Cricetulus griseus: one gene and its partner. The main gene of each other region encodes a partner of the protein of the gene in region 2 in a complex. Links are inferred from orthologs where the notes say so. Each region holds a gene or a part of one and is shown on either strand. Other genes may lie near its edges. The genes, in order: Emd and Banf1.

Region 1 (2,848 bases), on a different chromosome or scaffold from region 2:
CCCCACACCTGTCTTACCCTTGCTCTGGTAAAGTAAGGCATCCTCTTTTTTGGGCAGATCATACATGTCTGAGTCCACGGAGGCTGAATCCAAGTCTGCATTAAGGGGGAGGTAGAGACCATTAGGCATCCCTCTATTCCCTCAATTGCTTCAGCCACACCCTCCCTCCCCAAGCCTTGTGTCTCCAAGCAGCTCAGCCAGGCTCTGCGGCGGGGGACTCACCTGAGAACCTGTAAGAGAATGAAGAGGATGACGAGTTGGGGGGCGAGAGCCTCCGTCTCTGGGTCTCGTACTCGAAGATTTTCTTTTCGTAGAGCTTGCGAGTGGAGCCTGGTCAGATACAGGGTGCGAGGCGGTCAGGGGGTGCGAGCTGGGCACCCCGAGTGCGCCGGGGAATACGGGGAGGGGACGAGGAGGTAGGGGATAACGCTCAGCGAGGAGCGCGGGAAAGCGGGGCCTGGGATAGGTTCTCCGCGCCACAGTCTGCCGCGTACCCACGATAGGCCCATGCGGGATGTTGTACTGGCGTAGCACGGCGGCCAGCTCAGTGTCGGATAAAACAGCATAGTCGTCCATGGCAGACCCGGCCGACACCGGGGAGCGGTGTTGAACGTAAGGGGTGGCCCGGGCCTATGGACACGGCCTAGGAAACGGACAGCTCCTAGAGCGACGAAGGAAGCTCCAGCGCCTTAGAAGCGGTTGTGGTCGCGTCACGCCTCCGTTACGTTTGCGTCACAGCCACGGCTACGCGGCCACGGCTACGCGAGTTGCGCGCGCTCCTTAGGGCAGGCTCAAACCCGCCAGAATGGCCGGTACAGACCGGTCTGGCGGTTGGAACAGGCGGGGCTGGAGAATGTAAACGTCACACTTGTGTGGGATTGGCTAGAACAGGAAGAGGGAGGGGCCTGTAGGAGAGCCAGGGGAGCAGCTGACTAGACTACCCAGGTTAGCTAGACGTTAGCAGAGGGTGTGTTAAGAGTTAGATGTGCTAGAGGGGCGGAAAAGGGTCTGTGGTTGGGAGACTGGGATCTCTTTGTCACTGGCTTCACTCCGATTTTATTTCTCAGTGCTCTAGCGAACTATGGTCCTCAGGGGCAGTCTGTTCCACAGCAATGCAAAGAGTCCAATCCTGAGAGCGAACCCTTTCAGACAGCCTGGTACTGCTGGGAACTCTTTGTGCACACTAGTGCCAAGAAACAGCTGCGATTCAGGGCTCTCATCACCTAAGTAGCCACCCGCAGACCCCTGGCCCGCCCCACCCATCTTCGCTGGTCTTCTCAGTCTCCGTGGCCCTGCCTGCCCCCTAGCTCCATCTGGGAGGAAATGGGGCAAGCAACTGGGCCAGGGAGGCTGCCAGCACTCCAGGACCAAGAAGCCTTCCAAAGGCCCCGAGACATGCCAGTGGTCATAATCAGAAGACACCCACCTTGTGATGCGTGTAGACGGGTACACTTTGTGCCTGTCTAACTCACATTTCCATCCACCTGGGGCCCTGAAGAGTTCTGCAGTAGAGTTCTTGTTTGGCAGAGTAGAATAACCCCTAAACTTGGTATGACCTTGGAGGCCATCAGGGTGCACAACCTAGAGGCAAACCGGGAATCAATTAAGGCTTACAAAGGATCTGTATCAGACAAAGGTTATCTCGAATAGTGACCATGTATTTATTGTTCTACACAAAGTCATCTGGAACTAGGTAGGCTGCCCCTTATTGGACAGACTTAGGAGGAGGGGTACATGCAGAAAAGGTGCCTGGGATACCTGATCTCTTAAAGCAGTGGTTATCAACCTTCCTAATGCTGTGACCTTTAATGCAGTTCCTCATGTTGTGGTGACCCCAACCATAAAATTATTTTCGTAGCTATTTCACAACTATAATTTTTCTATAGTTATGTTTGTTTTTTTTTTTTTTTTGGTTTTTCGAAACAGGGTTTCTCTGTGTAGCTTTGGAGCCTATCCTGGCACTCGCTTTGAAGACCAGGCTGGCCTCGAACTCACAGAGATCCGCCTGCCTCTGCCTCCCGAGTGCTGGGATTAAAGGTGTGCGCCACCAACACCCGGCTGAGAACCACTGTCTTAAATGATAGTGATAGTGAGTGTTCTGATCAGTTCTAGGCTGACCTGATGGCATTTAGGTGAAGGCCACAGGCCAATTCTTTATGGAAGTTTAAAGTAGGCAATGATGAGAAGGAGCCCTGTTTTGACCACATAAAAAAGTCGTTAATGAAGAAGGGTTGGTGTTGAATGGATTTAAAAGACAGTGCCCTCCTCTGTCCCTGGAAATGGAGCTATATGAATCCCTGGAAAAGATACTGTCTTACGAAGAGACAGGAGAACCTTGGGCAGGAGTGTGTGTAAGTGAGAGACAGAGTAGGGCAGAGAGAGACATTCTGTCCATTCAGAGGCTGCTTCATGAATATTTTTTAGTTTTGGCAAAATCAGATTTCCCAGCATTTCCCTCCCCCTATGCTGGCCCCTCTCCCAGAGGCCTCTGCATACAGAGTGATTGCTCAGTACTACCCTATGCCCCCCCTACAGAATCAAGTTGCTTCCTTATGAGGTCAAGGAATTTTAGGTTTGCCTTCTCCCTAAGGATCACCCTCTGCACCTGCCTCAGCACACTGCCTCTTAATCCCCTCACTATCCCACTATAAAATCCTATCACAGATGTTATCAGGAATCTGAACTGTGGTTTTCTTGCACAAACCTGGAGCTTAAGTCTAGTCCATTGCAGTGTAACTCCCTTCTCTACCATTCAGCAGAAGAATCAAGATCCCAGAGTCTAAAGAGGCTTTTGCAATAGCCCCAAATTGAGTGATTCATGGAAATATTCTCCACAGGAAGTACCTGG
Region 2 (4,036 bases):
AAGACATGTGAGATTCGAGCTCCTGGGATAGAGTTTGAGGCCTGTATCTGAAATACCATAATTGATATTTCAGGCCCCTGACAGAGGGCCAAAGGTCTTCACCTCTCTGAAATAATTAAAATGCTTACAAAGATGTTAGTTTCAGGCCAGTTCACGATATGAGCTTGAAAACAACAGGACTGGAATTTAATTTTCAAGTTTAACTATTTCCTTTCATGTCTATGATAGCTGGGCAAACAGCAAAAGTACCACCCATTCTTCCCAGAGGCTACAAGAGCACATGACATGATGACTGTCAGGTGAACTCTTACCCACATCCCACCCACCCTCTTCCTGGTACCTGACTCCTACTAACTTTTCCACCAGGTGCTGCCTGAATCAAATGTTGACATCTAGAAGCCTACAGCCTACCTGGCTCCCAGGAAGAAATCAACCCACAGTCTGTCCCACATTATTTAGGATTGGGACACTAGGGCACCTGCCCAAGTCCCACATGGCTAGGGTGGTTCCCTCTTGGGAGGGGAAAAAGAAGCCACCAGTTTCGGTCTGCACTGATAAGATATGTTCAGTCCCTGGGGAAGACATAACTCCCAGCGCACCTGCTTTCCAACACACAACACCAATCATGAAGGCCACTGACTTTATTAGTCTAAAAATCTTTGTAAGGGCGGTAACTATTTTCGACAAAAAAGAAAAAAACAAAAAAAAGAGCCAAAGGACATCCAACAGATCGTGAATGGAGGGAGAAAAGGGCTAGGAATCCATTGGGGAAAGTTAACTGTTGCCATGGAACTGCAGGGGGAGAGGAGAAAGGCATGCAAGGGCAAGAATCCTAAAAAGGTTGAAACGCTGAGGGGAGAGAACTCCCAAAAGACCCTGGAGTACATAGGAGGTGAGTGTGACAACAGTAATCTTTCCCTTCACGGAGGACAGGGAGGAGCCCCACCCGGCTTCAGACTCTGGAGACTCAATATTGTGGCTGGGGGGCTGAGGAGTCCCCAGAGTACATTACAAGAAGGCATCACACCATTCTCGAAGGCACCCAAAACAGTCCCGGGACTGCTTGGCATTGGCACCACACGTGTCCTTCAGCCATTCTCTGAAGAGGTCTTCATCTTTCTTTAGCACCAGAAACTGGCCAAGGACCACATAAGCCTATAAAACAGGAAGGGCATACAGCTAAGTGCCTTGTGAGCAAAGAGCAACCTGAAGGGGCCAGATCTCTGAAGCTAGGCAAGTCAGCTGATAAGCACTTGAGAGGGCAAGGCCATTTTGTTTTGGTTGTTTTGTTTAAGACAGGGTCTTGCTTTGTTGACTAGACTGGCATTAAACTAGATGAGAATCTGCTTGCCTCAATCTCACAAGTGCTGGGGTCATAGGGAGGACCCACTATACCTAGTTTCATCACCTTTGTGGCATTGAAAACACTCAAAGGGTAGGACACAGTAGGGCACACCTTTAATCCCAGCACTTGTGAGACAGAGATCCTGTCTCCAAAACAACAACAAAAATGACTTTGCCTCCCCAGATGCCCCCAAACCACTTCAAATTATCTACCACTGTCCGTGCCCTCCCCGTACCCCTACTTTTCCTAACTCCCAATTTTTTTGCTTGGAATCATCTGTTGCCAACTTTCACTCCTACCCCTCCCTGGCATCTGTGGCCACCCCACACCTTGTCAAAGCCCCTTTCCTCCAGCTTCTTGCCCAGGACTTCACCAATCCCGGCCAGGCTCCCCACTGGCTTTTCCCCCATGGGCTCTGCCACGAAGTCACGGTGCTTTTGGGAGGTTGTCATCTTGATCAGGTTTAACCTGGGAATCCCAAAAAAAGGCAGGTTAGGGCTGAAGACCACAACTCCCAAGGGCAACCTCCTAGGTCAGCTATTGTGGCTGCTTCCTCGATTCCCCCTCATCTCACACCTGAGAAAATTGGGGGCCAGGGAAAGTCTTTCCCCCGCTATTACATCCTGAAATCTCCACTTTCTGTGGGCCCTGGGATTTGGTAATGAGCTTGCACTAACAAGTGGCGCACGTAGAGAAAGACTCACAGCCTCAGCAGCCAGGGCCCGCCCTGAAGCTGTCACTCTTGGTGACCTTGGCCAGGCAAACACTGACCCCGACCGGAGCTACCACGTGGTAGAAATAGCAGCAAAAAGAGGGGCTCGTTACCCTCGCCGCCCTCCACAGGCCAACAGGCGCCGCGCACCGGCTCCCGCAGCCCGCCGGAGCCCACGCCTCGCGGCTCCCAGGCCCCGCCCCGGACGCGCCGCCCCGCCTCCTCCACGCGCCGCGGCTCGCACGCGCCGCGGCTCCCACGCTCCGCGCACCGCCCCTCCCGCAAGGCCAGGCTGGTCCGCTGCAGAGACGCGCCTCAGCCACGGGCGCTCCTCTCCCTCCCGCCTCCGCCGCCTAGCCGGAGCCTTACTTCGCCGCTCACGCTCACCGGCAGCTCCGGCTCTCGTAACGGCTCCTCCCGCCACTCGGCAGCTCCAGCCGATACCTCAAGTTGCTAGAACGTTCTTCAACTTCCGCTTCCGGGTCGTGTCAGGAGCCGCCTTTAAAAAAAAAATACCCGAATTGGGCACGTCTAGCCACAGAGAGCCATAGAGTTGAGGCGCAACCGCTAACTGCGGAGCCCACAGAGGTCGCTGTTTTCCGGTCCCTCACAGGAAGCCGCGCTGCTTTCTATGGTCGTGTTTCTCCGGCCCCGCTTCCCATCTATGAGACCGAGGCCTCCGAGGAGAATACTGTTATCTTTTTCTTGCCCAGCACCTGGAACTTAAAGACTTAGGTGGCCTGACTTGGTCGAGGGAAGACTAAAGGAACGGACAAAGAAGGGGCGGGGCATCCGGAGGGCTACTGAGAGCCCCGGAAGTGCAATTCTCGCGGGTTCCTCAGAGTCAGGTCTATCTGAAGCCGGCTGACGGCAGCTGGGAACACCGGTGGTCTGAGGCCAGGCGTCCAAACCGGCGCGACCGTCGTGACCACCTGCCAGTCGCATTTCTTTGCTTTTGTTGACTCCGTCTTGAAGTGAGTCGTAGACGAGCTGCGTTCAGCGTCTACCTGGAAAACGTAGCTTGCTTGTGTAACGCCGAGCGGGTGAGTGCTGTGGGCGGCTCTTTTCTCGAAGGGTTTTTCGGCTTGAAGCGCTGCGGTGGTGGCCGAGTCAGTCTACACCATGAGTGTTAGGAGGACGAGCATCTGTTGTATGGCTGACCTACACTTGGGGGTGTTAAAGCATGTGGAGGAAAGTAGTTTACTCAAACTTCCCCAAAGACGTTGTCAGCCCGGGCGGTGGTGGCGTAAGCATTTAATCCCAGCACTCGGGAGGCAGATGTAGTCAGATCTCTGTGAGTTCGAGACCACCCTGGTCTACAAGAGCTAGTTCCAGGATAGGCTCCAAAGCTACACAGAGAAATCCTGTTTCGGAAAAAACAAACAAAAGGTTGTCAGAATGATCGGCCTGGGAGGTGCGTATGGTTTCATCGTCACGTCAGTACTTATTTACATTTTTTTTGTTAGTTATTGAGAGGATATCTCGCTACGTAGACCAGACTGGCCTCCATATGCTTTCGTCTACCTCTGTGGTTTGGGATTAGAGTCTTGAGATTTAAGGCTTGAGCCATCCCCCTTTCTTCCAAGTAAGACTATAAGACATGTTTCCTGGTTTCTTTTACTGTGTGTGGGTGTTACAGGTGTCCTTGGTGGCCAGAAGAGGGCATTGGATTCCCCTAGAATTGGAGTTAGAGATGGTTGTGAACCAACTGATGTGGGTGCTGGGTCCTGAGACATCTCTCCGGCCCTTAAACGTCATGTTTGCTTCATTTTTGAGACAGGGTTTCACTATGTAGACCAGGCTGACCTAGAACGCAACAAATATCTGCATGCCTCTGCATACCAAGTGCTAGGAATAAAGGCATACACCAGCATCTGGCTAAACACGTGCCTTGTTTTTTAGTGATTTTTTTTTTTATGTTTATCAGTGTTTTTACCTGCATGTATGTCTCAAAATGAGGGTGTTGGAGGTAGGGTCAG

What was found.
Region 1: the proteins of Banf1 (region 2) and Emd are in contact, whole or in part, in a crystal structure (PDB 7NDY), measured with the Homo sapiens proteins. The link is inferred for Cricetulus griseus from reciprocal best matches to the Homo sapiens genes BANF1 and EMD. Residues at the interface, in NP_001137457.1 of Homo sapiens: Arg37, Phe39, Gln48, Val51, Leu52, Lys53, Asp55, Leu58, Glu61, Trp62, Asp65; in NP_000108.1 of Homo sapiens: Pro22, His23, Gly24, Pro25, Val27, Ser29, Thr30, Arg32, Leu33, Tyr34, Lys36, Lys37, Glu40.

Annotation. Positions count from the first base shown.
Region 1 is NC_048604.1:1,458,544-1,461,391, forward strand, and holds part of Emd (emerin), read right to left. Parts: intron 1,582-2,848; 5' UTR 1,427-1,581; intron 883-1,426; 5' UTR 577-882; coding exon 495-576; intron 331-494; coding exon 223-330; intron 96-222; coding exon 18-95; intron 1-17. UniProt on the Homo sapiens protein: Stabilizes and promotes the formation of a nuclear actin cortical network. Stimulates actin polymerization in vitro by binding and stabilizing the pointed end of growing filaments. Inhibits beta-catenin activity by preventing its accumulation in the nucleus.
Region 2 is NC_048596.1:53,965,174-53,969,209, reverse strand, and holds Banf1 (barrier-to-autointegration factor), read right to left. Parts: upstream 2,565-4,036; 5' UTR 2,427-2,564; intron 1,814-2,426; 5' UTR 1,798-1,813; coding exon 1,675-1,797; intron 1,156-1,674; coding exon 1,009-1,155; 3' UTR 627-1,008; downstream 1-626. UniProt on the Homo sapiens protein: Non-specific DNA-binding protein that plays key roles in mitotic nuclear reassembly, chromatin organization, DNA damage response, gene expression and intrinsic immunity against foreign DNA.